4 linked regions of the Macaca fascicularis genome follow. The protein of the gene in region 4 purifies or fractionates together with the protein of the main gene of each other region. This does not show direct contact. Links are inferred from orthologs where the notes say so. Each region holds a gene or a part of one and is shown on either strand. Other genes may lie near its edges. The genes, in order: CBX3, YAF2, MGA and E2F6.

Region 1 (4,001 bases), on a different chromosome or scaffold from region 4:
ATAAGTATAGAAAATGAAAAGGATACATACTAAGGTTAAAAAAAAGAAAAAAAAAAGGGGCAGACAAAATACCATACAGTATTTACTACTATGGCATTCATAAGCTAGTTTCAAATGCTCACCATTTTCTTTTGTAGTATATGTTTGGCTTAACCCAGTACTTTTTTCCAAATGTGGATTTGAGTCAAAATAAATTTCCCATTATTTAAGTGAAATTAACAGTACATATATCTCACAACACTAATGAATTTTTAAAATGAAAAGTTAAAAAAAGTTTTAAAGTGGCCAACCTGTGATCCCTCACAAAATAAACTATTTAAATACCAATAAATAACAGACCCCAAAGAGTATCAATTGCATGCAAAAACAAATTCTGTTTTCCAGGGTATCTGACTTAACATAGAATCTAATGATGGCACAAATTAAAAATCACCAACGTGCCCTTTCTAGTGTGAAACCCAGAGAGAACATATACAGACCAAAAACAAATGCTTTACTTTACCTAGGAGACATTAACATTCACCTTTACGCGCTTAAGATTAATGCAATATGTTGAGAGTTAAATATTGTGAAAACTGTAACTTTGAATTTCATGATTTTTATGTGAATATTCCAAGGTTTTAAAAAACTTGTAACATGACATAGCTGAAGAAGATACAAAAAATCTAGCCTTTTCTCCCTTCTGGATCGTATTTGCTATTTCGATCATTTTTTTTAAAAAAAACAAAACACCGCAATGAATTGTATTCAAGATTCTTCTATATTTCAGAGTAAGTTAAAACAAGATAAAGTGACCAAAGCCATTTGAAAGATTCACTAACTTGCTCCAACCTAGGTGCACAAGGTACCTGGTTCTTCAAATTTGGCTTTAATGAAAATACTTCTCCAGAATTCTGGGGATTTAAGGAAAATTATGCCAACCAACAAGGGCTTTATTATTTTATGTAATATTTTGCAAAAACGTGGGTATTTCTATCTGAAGATAAAAATCCTCAGCAAAATCCACATTGCACTGTCCTTCAAAGATTAAACTAGTTAAGACGCTATTAAGTCAAGTCAGCAAGTATCTCCATGTAATGAATTCGTTTTGCTCCTAATTTTCCCCTATAATTATACTGGGAGAGCTGGGAAATATGTCGATGTAAATTTCTCAACCACAAAGATGCAAAGTTATACTTTGGGGGAAAAAACCTTGGGTTAAATCCTTACATACTTTAGCTTTTCATTAACTTACCAATGTAGTTTTATTGGAGGCCATTTTTTATTGCAGACTTGAAGAACTATTACTAGAAAAATGCATGACAGTTAAGAGAAGTTTGCACGACACAAAAAAGGTAACTAAATACAAGTTCTGTTTGGATTCCAACCCCCAAGTAGGGAGCGCACATTTCAAACGTTGATACAAATCCAGAGTAGATTTGCGCTCCTACCTACATTGCTTATGATGCACGTAAGTACGTGTTCTAAACATGTGAGTCTAGAAAGACTTTACTGGGGATCTTGGTACCTAAGGCAGCTTCACATGGCTTAACATAGGGGACAAATATCTTTTCTAATCTAAATCCCATTTGTAATCAAGTCCATGTTCCATTTTTAAAGGACAATCCTTTCGGTTTAAAACCATGCACGATTACCCAAACAACTCACAACTGTAAACCCCTGTGAATCTTCTCTGTTCTGCAATCCTAAGTTTGTTTCTGCTCAGAAACCCTCTCTTTTTCCAATCAGCAGTTAACTAACTAAAGGAAAAAACTTAACGATGCTTCAACCCCGTTTCGTGACACTTTGAAGACGCAATCACCTTTTGCACACACCCGCTCCCCCTCCGCCTCCGACCCTCTCCGCTGGAGCTCTGCGTCCCGAGGCCTAAGCGCAGCTGCCCGCCCCCACCCGGGAGCGCGGGCCTCGTGGTCAGCGCATCCGCAGGGAGAAACAAAGGCCGCGGCGCGGGGGCTCAAGGGCACTGCGCCACACGGCACGCGCCTACCCCCCGCGGCGGCCACGTTAACGGGACGGCCGCCGCAACCTCGGGACAGTCGGCCGCGCGCCGCCAGGCCTCGCGGACACGGGACCACGCGCCGCCCTCCCGGAGGCCCAAGTCTCGACCCAGCCCCGCGTGGCGGCTGGGGGAGGGGGCGCCTCCGCCGGAACGCTGGTGGGGGAGGGGAGGGAAAATGCGCTTTGTCTCGAAATAGGGCGACCGTCGCCACAGCTCCCTACCCCCTCGAGGACCGAACAGTCCCCCCACTAACTGCCGGCGCCGGCCCCGAGCCAGGTCAGCCGCGAGGCCACCGCCCGACCCTCTCCACTCCTTCCCGCAGCTCCCGGCGCGGTGTCCGGCAAGGAAGGGAGGGGAGCGGAGAAGCGGGCCCCCGGGGCGCGTGCAGCATCTGATGCACCACCACCGAGCGAGGGCTAGAGAGAAGGAAAACCACCGACTTCACCGCCTCTGAGCTGCTCCGGGTCGCGGGTCTGCAGCGTCTCCGGCCTTGCGCGCCTACAGCTCGAGCCACATCCGAGGGGTGAGGGAGCCGGGAGCTGTGCGCGGGGCCGCCGGGGGGGGGAGGGGTGGCACCGCCCACGCCGGGCGGCCACGAAGGGCGGGGCAGCGGGCGCGCGCCCGGCGGGGGGGAGGGGCCGCGCGCCGCACCCGCTGGGAATTGGGGCCCTAGGGGGAGGGCGGCTGCGAAGACCGCGGCACTTACCGTTCGCCCCGTGGCGCCTGGTGGTCCCCAAGGGGAGGGAGGGGGGAGGAGGGGCGAGGACGGTAACCGGAGTCTCCTCAGCGGTGGCTTTTCTGCTTTGCAGCCTCAGTGCTGGCGCCAAAACCGGACTCCGCCCACTTCCTCGCCCCTGCGGTGCGAGGGTGCGGAATCCTCCAAACGCTTGGGGAGAGAGAGTTGGGAGCTTAAAAACTAGTACCCCTTTGGGACCACTTTCAGCAGAGACCCCTCCTGTACCCCAGGGGTCAGCTGCATAGACGCGGGTCAGGGTTAGGTCAGTGTGGCGTGAACGATAATTTGACTAGAAGTTGATTCGGGTGTTTCCGGAAGGGGCCGAGTCAATCCGCCGAGTTGGGACACGAAAAACGAAAAGGGAAGGCTCATATTATACTACGATTTTTCTGGCGGGGGTTATCAAAGGCGTAGCTGCAGGGACCACCTCCCAGGTTGAGAGGGCTGGAACTCCGGGCTCCGGATTAAGCTCCTCCCGTCGGCGTTAATTTCAAACTGCGCGACCGTTTCTCACCTGCCTTGCGCCAAGGCCGGGGGCGGGACCCTATTCCGAGAGGTAGTAACTCGCGGGACTCGAGCCTTCCGCAATTCACTGAGCGCATTTACGGAAGTAACGTCGGGCACTGTCGCTGGCCACAGGAGGGGGAGGAGTACGCATTTGGCGTAAGGAGGGGCGTAGAGCCTTCCCGCCATTGGCGGCGGTTAGGGCGTTTACGCAACGGCCTGACGTAGAGGAAGACGCGTTAGTGGGGGGGAAGGTTCTAGAAAAGCGGCGGCAGCGGCTCTAGCGGCAGTAGCAGCAGCGCCGGGTCCCGTGCGGAGGTACTCCTAGCGGTGTTGTTTCTCGAGGAGAGGCAGTTCTCACTACAGCGCCAGGACGAGTCCGGTTCGTGTTCGTCCGCGGAGATCTCTCTCATCTCGCTCGGCTGCGGGAAATCGGGCTGAAGCGACTGAGTCCGCGATGGAGGTAACGGGTTTGAAATCAATGAGTTATTGGAAAGGGCATGGCGAGGCCGTTGGCCCCCTTGTGGAAGTCGGCCGGCCGCCTCCGTGGGAGAGCGGCAGGAAATCGGACCGCTTCAGTAGCAGTGGGGCTTGAGGTTTATGAACGGGGTCTTGACCGGAGGCCTGAGCGTACAAACAAGCTTCCCCACCCTCGGCCTCCCGGCGCCATTTCCCTTCACTGGGGGTGGGGGATGGGGAGCTTTCACATGGCGGACGCTGCCCCGCTGGAGTGAAAGTGGGGCGCGGAGGCGGGAATTCTTA
Region 2 (4,124 bases), on a different chromosome or scaffold from region 4:
TGTAGAACACTTACTTTCAGGAACACAGTGTCCCTTAGATTTCTGGTGAGTTGCCCAGAGCCTCTTCAGTTTCAATCCAAATGACAATGCTTCTCTGAGTCCTCCTCAAGTAATGTTTCCACCACTAAAAATTGGATCTACAAGAGCTCGGATGTACCGGTTAAAAACAAAAAAAAAGTCAGGGGCCCCCAGGTGGGCCTCAAGCCTCTTTTAAACTAGGCCCACTTCTCTGTCCTGGGCCAACTCCCCTGTGTACTATATTCCTTCTTCTTCCAGGTGCCAGGTATTCAGCCTGTTTCTTCTCTTCTGAGCTGCCACCACCTACTCTATTTCTCAGGGTTCCTCTAATCCCAAGACTGGCTGTGGAGTAGGACACCAGCTTCCCCCCTTCCTTGCTGTCCCTGCAAATAAACATATAGGCTCTTCTAGTTTCAGTATTTTTCTAATGGCTACAAGAAAATAGAGAGGGAACAACAAAAAGCAATAATATATAGTACCAGAGATCAAGATTATAATAATTGTCTCCACTTTAATGTTCCTGCCTCCAAAAAACGAATTTTCTAAATATTGTTTACTAAGCATTTTAAAAAGCACAAAGTACTAACACGGATATACAAATACACTCTAAACCAACTCCAACCTTACACAGCCATTAAGATACTCTGCTTTTCAAAATACTTAAATCACAAAACACGGGTCCAAAAATAGTAACCACAATCATTTTAGCAAATACTTTTTTTCTTTTTGGAATGTTCTGTTGTAATCCCTTAAATTTAGCATGTCTAAAAGTTGGCTTTCTGAGCATAAAAAATGTTCAAAATATTTTATCCACTGTAAATGAGAATAAATGGGTCCAAAATTAGTAACCACAATCATTTTAGTATATACTTTTTTCTTTTTGGAATGTTCTGCTGTAATCCCTTAAATTTAGAATATGTTTGAAAATTTTCTTTTTGAATATGAAAAATGTACAAAATATTTTATCCATTGTGGGAATATACAAAAAGCATATAATATTTACAAAAAATAAGCATGTCAAAGCCAGCGAGCTTCACTGAGAAAATTTTCAAATAAGTTACTGTCAACCATTCCTGTCTCTACATTTCAAACTTAATAAAATTCTGTAGTGTTTTAAAAAAAAATCAAGATCACATTTTTTAGAAATCTAACGTCTACTGAATATTTGCATATGTCAATATCATATATGCCTTTTTTAAAGCAACAGTAAGATAGATTAGTATGCTTATTGTTATAGTTTAGTCTCTAATGAACTTTGTAACATCAAAATATATATCTTCTCTACATATTAAGTAATAAATCACAGGATTATATTTAATTCAAAGGGTACCTTCCTATAAAAATCAAGGAGCTCGATAACTAAGTGCTGACAGATTAAGAATGCCAGACTGAATTTCCTGGATGATTTTCTTTATCCACTTAATTCAAAGTCGTTTTTTAAAAAACAGAGTTATTATACTGCAAGCTTACAATAAATAAAGTCTGAAAATGGGCAGAGATCTTTTCATCTCATTTGTCTAAGAGACTGCCATTTAATCAAACTAAAGATATGCAGGTACTTTCAGTAAAAATCTGTTCCTGTGACTGGGCTCATCTCCAACTACTTATTTATAAAATATTAGAGAACTGGAATAAAAACACTAAATAAAACCTTGATCTGACCCTTCCAGAAGTCCATATAGAAAAGAAGTTTAATATATTGTGTATTCTGCAATCAGATAGTTTTCTTTTTTTAGGAACGAAATTAAATTACATCCTTTGCTCCTAAAGAGGATTTTATGGGTTTTCCTTGATCCCTACACACTAACACAACAATGCAGCCAACATTTTTATACCCAGAGTGGGGAGAGGGACATTACACACGGCGATACGAATTAAATCGCAGTAGCTAATGCCTCCCATAAATAATTTATTCTCTCTTGGCAGCAAAAAACCTTACAGCCTCTTCAATTACCCCTCACCGCAAACCATCGCCTGGGTTGCGATCAATGTGACCCAGTTCCTATCGCCACAGCCACCTCCGTCTCGCCTCCTCCCGCCGGGTCCGCGAATGTCATGGGACGGGGCGGCAGCCGCAGGGGCGTCCCCTGGTCGTCACCCCGCCAGACGGAGGCGCGCGGGGCAGGCCTGGGACTCACCGGGTGGAGGTGCCCTTCCGCACATCGCACATCATGCACTTGAAGGCCTCGGCGCTGTTCCGGAAGGTGCAGACGCTACAGTCCCAGTAACCCTCATCCGAGGACGGCTTCGGCTGCCGCTTCGGCCTGCAGGACACAACCCGGACACGACGCGGCGCGGGGTCACCAGCAGGCCGCGCCCGGCGCCCGGGCCCTGCGGCCGCCCCCGCCCCGCCCCCCGCCCCAATTCCGCGACCCCCGCCCGGCGGGCCCCCGGCGGGCCCTCGGCGCGCCGCGCTCCGGCTCCAAGGGGGAAGGAAGTCAGGAAGAGGCAGGGCGCGAGCCCGGCCGCACTCGCCGCCGCCACAGCCGCTCTGACACCCGGGCTGCCGCTCCGGTAGCCGCCGCCATCGCGGCTCCATTGTGGGGCGGCCGGCGCCGGCCCCCTCACGCGGCAGCACTCGCACACCAGCGGCGCCGCCCCCGTGCTCGCCCCGGTGCCCGGGCGGCGAGCGAGGCAGCCACCCGAAGCCCTGCACCAGGGCCCTGCCGCCCGCACAGTCCGGGCCCCGGGGCCCGGGCGCTGTTACCTGGTGGGGCTCTTCTTGTCTCCCATGGCTTGGCTATCAACGCACGCTGAGAGTCGCCGCCGCGGCCGCACTGTTTGTCAATAAGGAGGATAATAAGCCGGGCGGAAGCGGGCGGGGGAGGAGGGAGGAAGGGGGCGGGGAAGGCCGCACCGCCGCGCTCGGGAGCCGCCGCCGGATCCCACGCAGCCTCCAGCTGTCGGGGAAACTCCTGCCTGGGCGCACGTGACCCGCGCCCGCCAACCAGCAGCCGCGCCGGAGACTTCAAACGCGGCCAGCGCGGCCCAGCACCCGCGGCGAGTTAGCCGGCGGGCGGTGCGGAGGTGGACGCCTCGGCCTCGGGAGCCGGCGCCGCCTCACCGCACTGTTGCCCTGTCGCCCTCTCGGTACCCACGGCTGCCAGGGGCTGCCGCGCGCTCCAGAGCCCCTCTGAGGAGGAAAATATCTGTCCCACCGACTGGCTTGGGATGCTCAGTCATCCCGTGCGAAGCCTGGTCCAAGGTCTGGCATTCGGAGGCCTGTCCAGGTCTGGACAGAAGTGCCAGCCCGGGGTCTCCAGGTAGAACGACTTTCCTGGCCTCCGCCGTCCTTAGCTACTCAGTCCCCGCCTGCAGGACACCACGGGGAAGGCGGGAACCAACACGCAGCGCCATTGCTAGATGCCTTAAAGCGCTACACAGATGCTCAAACAAGTAGGGCTTGTCACCCCTAACTTAGAGGAATCGAAATCAAGACTCAAGAGAGGTTAGGTGACTTCCTCTGGGCTACATAATTAGAAAATGACAAAGCCAGGAGTCTAACTCTGCTCTAATTCCAAAGGCACCCTTTTGGCCTCTCAGGCCTCTGCAGTAGCTGCTTTTGAAAGAAACCCAATACATACTCATAAGGCCTTTTTAAATATAAGGAGTTTACATGTCCCCTCAACGCTGTCTGCTAACAAAAGAACACCTTCCCAGGTCTCTTTACCTCAATATACTAAATAAAGGTCCTCATACTCCAGACTCCAGCAACAGCCATCAAACTGGTCTCCGAAGCTCCACTTCCACCTCCCCAATCGATTCAGTAGTCCACAACCAGATGAATAATAAAATGCTGTTAATATTATGCCACCACTCTGATCAAGAACCACTAACGACTCCCACACTCCTTAGCCTGGCATTTAAAGGCTTCACACATTTTCCCTACCTCTGCATCCCTCTCCCATGAGAAAAGCTGCCTCCTGACAATGCACATGGGTTACTTCTGCATAAACTAGATCCCTCTTTAACAGTGCTGTTTCTGTCCATCTTTCTAGGTTTACATCAATTCCGAATTCATGTAAAATGATAATTTCATAGCTAAACTACAAAGGAAATGGTACAGTCAGAAGTCCAGGGTTCTCAGCCTGCTTCCCCTGTTTCTT
Region 3 (3,561 bases), on a different chromosome or scaffold from region 4:
ATATTAAGGGAAGTCTTCTCCAAACCCTTGCCTGATGTTTCATGACCCCTCGACAAAGGATCCAAATCACCTGGTTGTATCTCTGACCCCTGACCTTCTGTAAGACGGACCCGATGACCAGAAGAACTGGAAATATTATTCCCTTCTTGGTCAGAGCTGTTCTTTTGTTTTCCATCTCTTTGGGGCTTACTATTCAGCCCATCATCCCGAAAGCCTTTGGCAAATGGATTGTAATCTATTTTCAGCTGAGTAATCTGAATGTTCTGATAAGCTGTGACTGCAAAGAATTCAGTCTGTGGGAAGGTAAAAGTGTGGACACCAGGGCCATTTAATTGTATCACCTCCACAGCCTTTTCTGCAGGCACCAAATGAAGCCTTGGCAGGTAACGATGCATAGAGTGCAAGATGATATGCCCTTCTTGGTCCAGTGTATTGTTGGTAAGTTTGAGTTTATAGAAAGATACTGGTTGATGCATCCAATAATGACCTGTGGAAGGAGATTCTGGATGAATAAAAACCCTCCCCAAAACATGAGGTTCAGCCTTCCCACTGGGTTCCCACCAACGACCATTCCACTTATAACGATGGTTATCCACAGGAGATATATCCATGACAAGAATATACTTCAAATTTGAATCTAAACCTGTTATCCAATAACGACAATAAGGAAACATGCGTCTTCCTTGCTTGGTCAGAATCATTTCTGTGCTTCGATGATAGAACTCATTCCACATACTATTGTTATCGAGGGTAACAGTGATTCCACCCACAGTACAATCAGCTGGAAGGCAAATCTTCCCTTTAGATTTTACTGGTGATGACACACTACTAGCCAAAGCACAGGCATCCTGATTAGTAACCAAAATTCCTTGATCAGTTTTGCCATTTCCTGGCTGCTTTAAGATGACAAAGAAGGTAGGTGCTGCTCCTGCCACTGTTCCACCATCTTGATTAGCCAATATAATCTGCTGTTTCTCCTCCATGATTTCAGTAGGAAACTCAGTAGTAAGACAACTGTAATCACCACATAGTCACAATGGCCTTCCCATCCTAAGAAACAAGCAAAAAAACCAAAAACAAAAAACACCCTTTAATCAAGTGAGTATTTATTTCTTGAACAAAAATACAAGAATGATGTCATCCCCAAAATATTCCTAAATTCTTGTAAGACTTTGCTTCTAAGCTTTTCTTTCAATCACAGTAAGAATATTTATTCTGGAATATCTAATCATTTTTTAAAGTTCATTTTAATCTAATTAATTAAGTCGCTCATATCCTAATCCTCTAACAATTCACTATAAATACTATAATCTCACACAAAGAAACAAAAGTATATATTCATTATTTAAAAAAATAAAAGTATACAAAATTAAAAAGTTAAATTTGAAGGCTATGCATTTTTAAAGCATCCTAACACTTTATGAATTAATTTGCCAGAAGATTCCTTTATATAGCAAGTTCCCCTGTGATGAGTAAATTAAATAAGTAAATTTCCATTTTCATTCCAAAGAGCTAATTGTACAGAATTAGTTCTTCACATGGTTCAGAAGACATGGTTCCATAAGTAAGTAAAAAGCTATCTTAACTTCTTATTACACACATTTAAAGAAGCCATGACAAATCACTGGAACTCAATGGACCTTACACTGAAAAAAATTCCAGATGAACCTAATATTTAATTTTTTTATTCCTAAATCCTGAGAAAAGTTTTTTTATGAGACACAAAACCTAAAACCAGTAAAGCAGGAAAAAAAAAAACAAGTTGATAAATTTAATATTATATAAGGCCAGGTGCAGTGGCTCACACCTGCAATCCCAGCACTTTGAGAGGCCAAGGCCGGTGGATCATTTCAGGCCAGGAATTCGAGACCAGCCTGGCCAACACGGCAAAACCCCATCTCTATTAAAAACTAAAAAATTAGCCGGGTGTGGTGGTGCATGCCTGTAGTCCCAGCTACTCAGGAGGCTGAGGCACGAGAATCACTTGAACCCAGGAGGCAGAAGGTGCACTGAGCCAAGATCACGCCACTGCACTCCAGCGTGGATGACAGGGAAAGACTGTCTCAAAGAAATAAAAATAAAATAAAATGTAATATTCTGTAAATTTTTTAATCTGGCAAAATCATTTAAGCAAAATCAAAAAGCAAACAACTAACTAGGAAAAGGTATGTGCAACTTATAAAGAACTCATTTCCCTAATATAAAAAGGAGACTAGACGTGGTGACTGCCACCTATAATCCCAGCACTTTGGGAGGCCAAGGCAGGAGGATCGCTTGAAGTCAGGAGTCCCAGACCAGCCTGTCCAACATAGTGAAAGCCTGTCTCTATTAAAAAATAATAGTGGCCGGGAGCAGTGGCTCACGCCTGTAATCCAAGCACTCTGGGAGACCAAGGAGGTCAGATCACTTGAGGTCAGGAGTTCAAGACAAGCCTGGCCAACATGGTGAAACCCCATCTCTACTAAACATAAAAAAATTAGCTGGACATGGTGGTGTGCGCCTATAATCCCAGCTACTTAGGAGGCTAAGGCAAGAGAATCGCTTGAACCCAGGAGGTGGAGTCACAGTGAGCCAAGACGGCACCACTGCACTTCAGCCTGGGTGACAGAGCAAGACTCTGACTCAAAAAAATAAAATAAAAATACATTAACAGTAATAATAATTTTATAGGCTTCCTACAAATCAACAAGACCAAATACCTAACAGAAAAATAAGTAAAGGATAATAAACGCAAATGGCTATGAATATGTATATAGTGAAGAGGAAAGGAAATTAAAATCATCTTGAGATTGTTTTTTTTTGAGATGGAGTCTTGCTCTGTCGCCCAGGCTGGAGTGCAGTGGCCGGATCTCAGCTCACTGCAAGCTCCGCCTCCCGGGTTCACGCCATTCTCCTGCCTCAGCCTCCCGAGTAGCTGGGACTACAGGCGCCAGCCACCTCGCCTGGCTACTTTTTTTGTAATTTTTTTAGTAGAGACGGGGTTTCACCGTGTTAGCCAGGATGGTCTTGATTTCCCGACCTCGTGATCCGCCCGTCTCGGCCTCCCAAAGTGCTGGGATTACAGGCTTGAGCCACCGCGCCCGGCCTTGAGATTGTTTTTTTACTTATCAGACTGGCAAAAATCAAAGCCTGGTAGTGTTGGAAAGGGTATAGGTCAACCAGCATTCTCCCCTAACTAGTTACTGGGAGTATAAAATAACAGAATCTCTATGAGAAAGGGCAACTTGAAAATATCGAAAGTACAAATCCATATATCATCCTACAACAAAGAAGTTTTTCCAGGACTTTAAGTTTTTTTAATTCACTGATAAAACCCACTATATGACTTTTAAATACACACACCTACGATAAATGATATCTATACAAGATTATCCCCATTTATAACAGCAAAAGACTAGACAGGAAGAGAGAAGTCCTTAAAGTGGTAAAACAAATGATGGCACATCCACAGAGTAGAATGATAACAGTCATAAAAGAGAATGTATAAGCTTAATGAATGCATGCAAAAAATATCTACAAGATATATCAAGCGCAAAATGTTCAGAAGAGTTGTAAATTATG
Region 4 (4,237 bases):
ACTGAAAATACCAGAAATGTATGTCTAAGATTTCAAGCGATGTATCTGCTGATATTGCATGCAAACTAAGTGGTTTTTCCACAGTGAGCTTAGAGTTTTTATCAAATTCTCAAATATTAAGACGACCAATACAGATGGTACCAATATACAGCTGATCCTCAAACAACACAGGTTTGAACTGTGTGGGTCCACTTAGATGCCAATTTTCTTTACCCCCTGCCACAACTTAGAGAGCAAAACCAACTCCTCCTCTTACTCCTCTTCATCAGCCTACTCAGTGTGAAGACAAGGATGAAGACCTTTACGATCATCTAATTCCCCTGAATGAGTAGGACTTTCTCTTATTTATGATTTTCTTAATAACGTTTTCTTTAGCTACTTTATTATAAGAATACACTAACTAATACATGTAAATACAAAATATGTGTTAATCAACTGTTTACAGTATCAGTAAGGCTTCCAGGAAACAGTAAAGTTTTGGGGGAATCAAAGTTATATTCAGATTTTGAATTTCATGTGATTTGGTGCCCCAAACCCTGAGTCGTTCAAGGATCAAATGTAGACGGTAACATAAGTCATGGGAGGAGAGAATGAACTCCCCTAAGAAGAATGTGTAGAGACAGCAGAAGAGAACCCTGAATATCATCAACATGTGGCCAGCCACGGTGGCTCACACCTGTAATCCCAGCACTTTGGGAAACTGAGGTGAGAGGACAGCTTGAGCCCAGGAGTTCAAGACCAGCCTGGGCCACGCAGGAAGACTTCCATATCTAAAAATAAAAAAATTAGCCAGGCCTTGTGGCATGTGCCTGTGGTCCCAGCTACTAGAGAGGTGGAGGCAGAAGAATCACTTGAGCCTGGGAGGTCAAGGCTGCAGTGAGCCAGGATGTGCCACTGCACTCCAGCCAGGGTGACAGAGTGAGATCCTGTCTCGGGGGAAAAAAAAATGAAGGACTGGGAAGAGGATGAGGACAAGGAGAGCCCAGAGAAGCAGATGGAACATCAATGTCAAGGAAACTCAAGGGAGAGTTTCCAACACAAGTAGTTTTGTGTCAAAACTACAACAGCTGCTGGAATTGACGAGATTGTCGGTGACCCTGGTTAGAATGGTCTCACAAGTGTGCTGAGGATAGGGGTCCCCAGCAGTGGGTTGGCTGATAATGAGACGATCAAGTGGAAAGAGTGAGTGTAAATAACTTTTTCAAGAAGTTTAGCTGTGAAGGGGAAGAGAGACAGTAGATGGCAAGGGATATGGAATTAAGGGAGGGATCTTTTAAGATGGGGATGGATTGAGAATGTGGTTTTAGTAGTCAAGAATTTATCATCTGGAGTTAGACATTTGGAGGTTCAACCCAAGTTTCTCCACTTACTATCTAGCCACAGGCAAGCCGGCATTACATGCATCTCCAGGTCTGTTTTGGCAACCGTAAAACAAGAATAATAGTCTTTTACTATTATAAAACACTGCTGTGAGAAATTAAATGAGACAATAATCACAAACTATTTGGTATGGGGACCAGGCATAATGACTTGGGAAAATGTTTAATTACTACTAGTTATAGGAAGAAAGCAGCAGAGAAATTGAAAATATGGGGAGAGGCCGGGCTCGGTGGCTCACGCCTTGTAATCCCATCACTTTGGGAGGCCGAGGCGGGTGGATCACCTGAGGTCGTCAGGAGTTCGAGACCAGCTTGGCCAACACGGTGAAATCCCGTCTCTACTATAAATACAAAATTAGCTGGGTGTGGTGGCGCATGACTGTGATCCCAGCTACATGGGAGGCTGAAGCAGAAGAATCGCTTGAACCTGGGAGGCGGCGGTTGCAGTGAGCTGAGATCGTGCCATTGCACTCCAGCCTGGGGAACAAGAGTAAAAACTCCATCTCAAAAAAAGAAAAAGAAAATACGGGAGGAATGGAAAAGAACGCATTTGTTAAGGACCTTGAGAACCGGGGAATACAGTATCTGGTCCAGAACAAGAGTAGAAGAAATCAGTCTTTGTGGGAAAGGGAGCCAAATCTCCTAACCATTTTCTCCGTCAAACAGGTGGGGAGATAATTTTATGAATGGGAGCTGTGGCGTGGTAAATATAAAGCGTGGACAAGGTTTTAAACGGCTGCAGTAGAGCAGAAGAGAGAGAAGGTAGAAGAACAAATGATAGGTTGCAGAGATACAGCTAGAGTCCACTGAAGGAGAAAAACATGGCCTTTCCAATGCAAAGTTGAGCAATTTTCTCCAACAGTGCCCTGAAGTTCCGATGTAAAAGTCCAGAAGACTGACACCACGTCTGTGAACAGATGCTGAAAGCAGAAGGCGGGAGAGCGCAGTTTCGCAGCACGTGATGGGCAGCGCCTGGCCCAGGGGGAGCAGACGACCGAGACGACGGCCAGCGGGGTTGGCGGCGGCGCGGGGAGGAGGGGGCCAGCTTTGGGAGACCCCCGCCCGTCCCCCTCCCGTCCCGGAGCTTACCAGCAGTCCCTCCACGTTGATGGGGTCTCGGCACCGACGGCGAACCGTCTCCTCCGCGGGGTCCAGGAGGAGACTGGGCAACTTCCTCGCCGGCCGCTGCTGACTCATGCTGCCCGGCCGGGCGTCCCGCTCCCCTCGCACCCCGCGAGCTCTCCCGCCCTCTCGCGCGCAGCTCGATCACCGCCCCCCACGCGCCGATTTCCAAGGGCCCAGAAACTGACGGATCCGCGGCGTCCTCCAAGGCCCCGCCCGGCTAGGCCGTCCCACCCGCCAGCAAACGCGGCACTGCCTCACGTGCCCGGGAACTCCCGACGAAGACGGGAAAGGAGGAGGTAGACCCGCGGCTCTCAAGTAGCCCGGCCCGCCATTTTTCCGCATGCGCAGTGTACCGCCCCCCTCTGCGCATGCCCGCCGCGGCCGGAGCGCTCCCACGCACCGATCCTCTCCCGGCGGCTGGCGCCCGGGAAACCCGGACCGCGGAATCCACGGAGAGGCTGGCAAAGGAAAAGGAAGAGGTGGAGCCGGATTCCAGAGGAAGGGAACGGGGGTGAGAGAAAACAGGCAGCTGGGAAAACGCAGCGCTCGCCTGGAATTCTCGACGGTGATAACTGAAAGCTCTCAGCCGCAAAGATGTTCATTTATTCCTTTTTTTAATTTTAATTTTTTTTTTTTTTGTCGCCCAGGCTGGAGTGCAGTGGCGTGGTCAGGGCTCACTGCAGCCTCGAATTCTTAGGCTCAAGCGATCCTCCCACCTCAGCCTCCCAAGTAGCTGGGACTACAGGCGCGCGCCACTGCGCCCGGCTAATTTTTAATTTTAATTTTAGTAGAGGCAGAGTCTCAGTATATTGCACCGACTGGTCTTGAACTCTGGGGCTCAAGCCATCCTCCCACCTTGGCCTCCCAAGTGCTGGGATTATAGGCATGAGCTACCACGCCCGGCCTTCATTTATTCCTGAGCTCTGTTAGCACATCTTACAGGCGGGTCAGTGTTGATGCTTAGTAAATGTGAGCAACCAAACCATTGTGGTATCGTTTTACTTCTGCCTGCCTGCCTTCTTTCCTTCCTTCCTGCCTTCCTTCCTTCCTGCCTTCCTTCCTTCCTTCCTTCCTCCCTCCTTCCTGTTTGATGAATGAGTTATCGTGGACCTATAGTGTCAGATATTGGGGTGAGCACAGGCGATACTTACTCATTTGGATATGCCACAGGTTCAACCTCCAATTTCAGTGGGGACAGATAAGTAAACAGAGCATGTTAATTAAGCTGGAGCCAGAGGTGTGTTTTCAAATCCTGGCTCCTACTTATAAACCAGAAGACCTTATTAAGCCAGTTACTTAATCTGCCTGTGCCTCAGTTTCCTTATTTGGAAAATGCGAATAATGACAATACTTACCTGATAAGGTTGTTGTGAGGATTAAATGGATTAATGGATACAGGTTGCTGTGATTAGAACAGAGGCCAGCACATGTTTGAAACAAAAAGGTAACACACCGTGGTGTGTACAGAGTTGGAGGGAAACAACCGGTTAGACTGGGGGTTTCTACACAGCCTGAGGTGGGCGAGGTGAGGCAGGGAGAAATCCCTGAAGAAGCTGGCTCCCCACTAGACTATGATGTCAGAGGTCTCTAATCTTTTTTTTTTCCCCATTACCCAGGCTGGAGGGCAGTGGCATGGTCATAATTCACTGTAGCATCAAACTCCTGGTCTCAAGTGGTCTCCCAGTTAAGACTCCCACGTAGCTAAGAGTACTGGTGCATGCCACTATGCCCGG

What was found.
Region 1: the proteins of E2F6 (region 4) and CBX3 purify together in Homo sapiens (affinity purification with mass spectrometry; 4 studies listed by BioGRID and IntAct, with this or other methods). This does not show direct contact. The link is inferred for Macaca fascicularis from reciprocal best matches to the Homo sapiens genes E2F6 and CBX3.
Region 2: the proteins of E2F6 (region 4) and YAF2 purify together in Homo sapiens (affinity purification with mass spectrometry; 4 studies listed by BioGRID and IntAct, counting the BioPlex papers as one, with this or other methods). This does not show direct contact. The link is inferred for Macaca fascicularis from reciprocal best matches to the Homo sapiens genes E2F6 and YAF2.
Region 3: the proteins of E2F6 (region 4) and MGA purify together in Homo sapiens (affinity purification with mass spectrometry; 3 studies listed by BioGRID and IntAct, counting the BioPlex papers as one, with this or other methods). This does not show direct contact. The link is inferred for Macaca fascicularis from reciprocal best matches to the Homo sapiens genes E2F6 and MGA.

Annotation. Positions count from the first base shown.
Region 1 is NC_088377.1:104,102,913-104,106,913, forward strand, and holds the start of CBX3 (chromobox protein homolog 3), read right to left. Parts: upstream 2,831-4,001; 5' UTR 2,706-2,830; intron 2,518-2,705; exon of another isoform or gene 1,802-2,517; intron 1,287-1,801; 5' UTR 1,259-1,286; coding exon 1,235-1,258; intron 1-1,234. Other genes in the region: HNRNPA2B1 (heterogeneous nuclear ribonucleoproteins A2/B1), read left to right, coding at 3,697-3,702.
Region 2 is NC_088385.1:48,808,604-48,812,727, forward strand, and holds the start of YAF2 (YY1-associated factor 2), read right to left. Parts: upstream 2,817-4,124; 5' UTR 2,752-2,816; coding exon 2,726-2,751; intron 2,283-2,725; coding exon 2,157-2,282; intron 402-2,156; coding exon of another isoform or gene 200-401; exon of another isoform or gene 10-199; intron 1-9. UniProt on the Homo sapiens protein: Binds to MYC and inhibits MYC-mediated transactivation. Also binds to MYCN and enhances MYCN-dependent transcriptional activation. Increases calpain 2-mediated proteolysis of YY1 in vitro.
Region 3 is NC_088381.1:18,265,320-18,268,880, reverse strand, and holds part of MGA (MAX gene-associated protein), read right to left. Parts: intron 1,051-3,561; 5' UTR 984-1,050; coding exon 1-983. UniProt on the Homo sapiens protein: Functions as a dual-specificity transcription factor, regulating the expression of both MAX-network and T-box family target genes. Functions as a repressor or an activator.
Region 4 is NC_088387.1:110,642,973-110,647,209, reverse strand, and holds the start of E2F6 (transcription factor E2F6), read right to left. Parts: upstream 2,856-4,237; 5' UTR 2,577-2,855; coding exon 2,469-2,576; intron 1-2,468. UniProt on the Homo sapiens protein: Inhibitor of E2F-dependent transcription. Binds DNA cooperatively with DP proteins through the E2 recognition site, 5'-TTTC[CG]CGC-3'. Has a preference for the 5'-TTTCCCGC-3' E2F recognition site.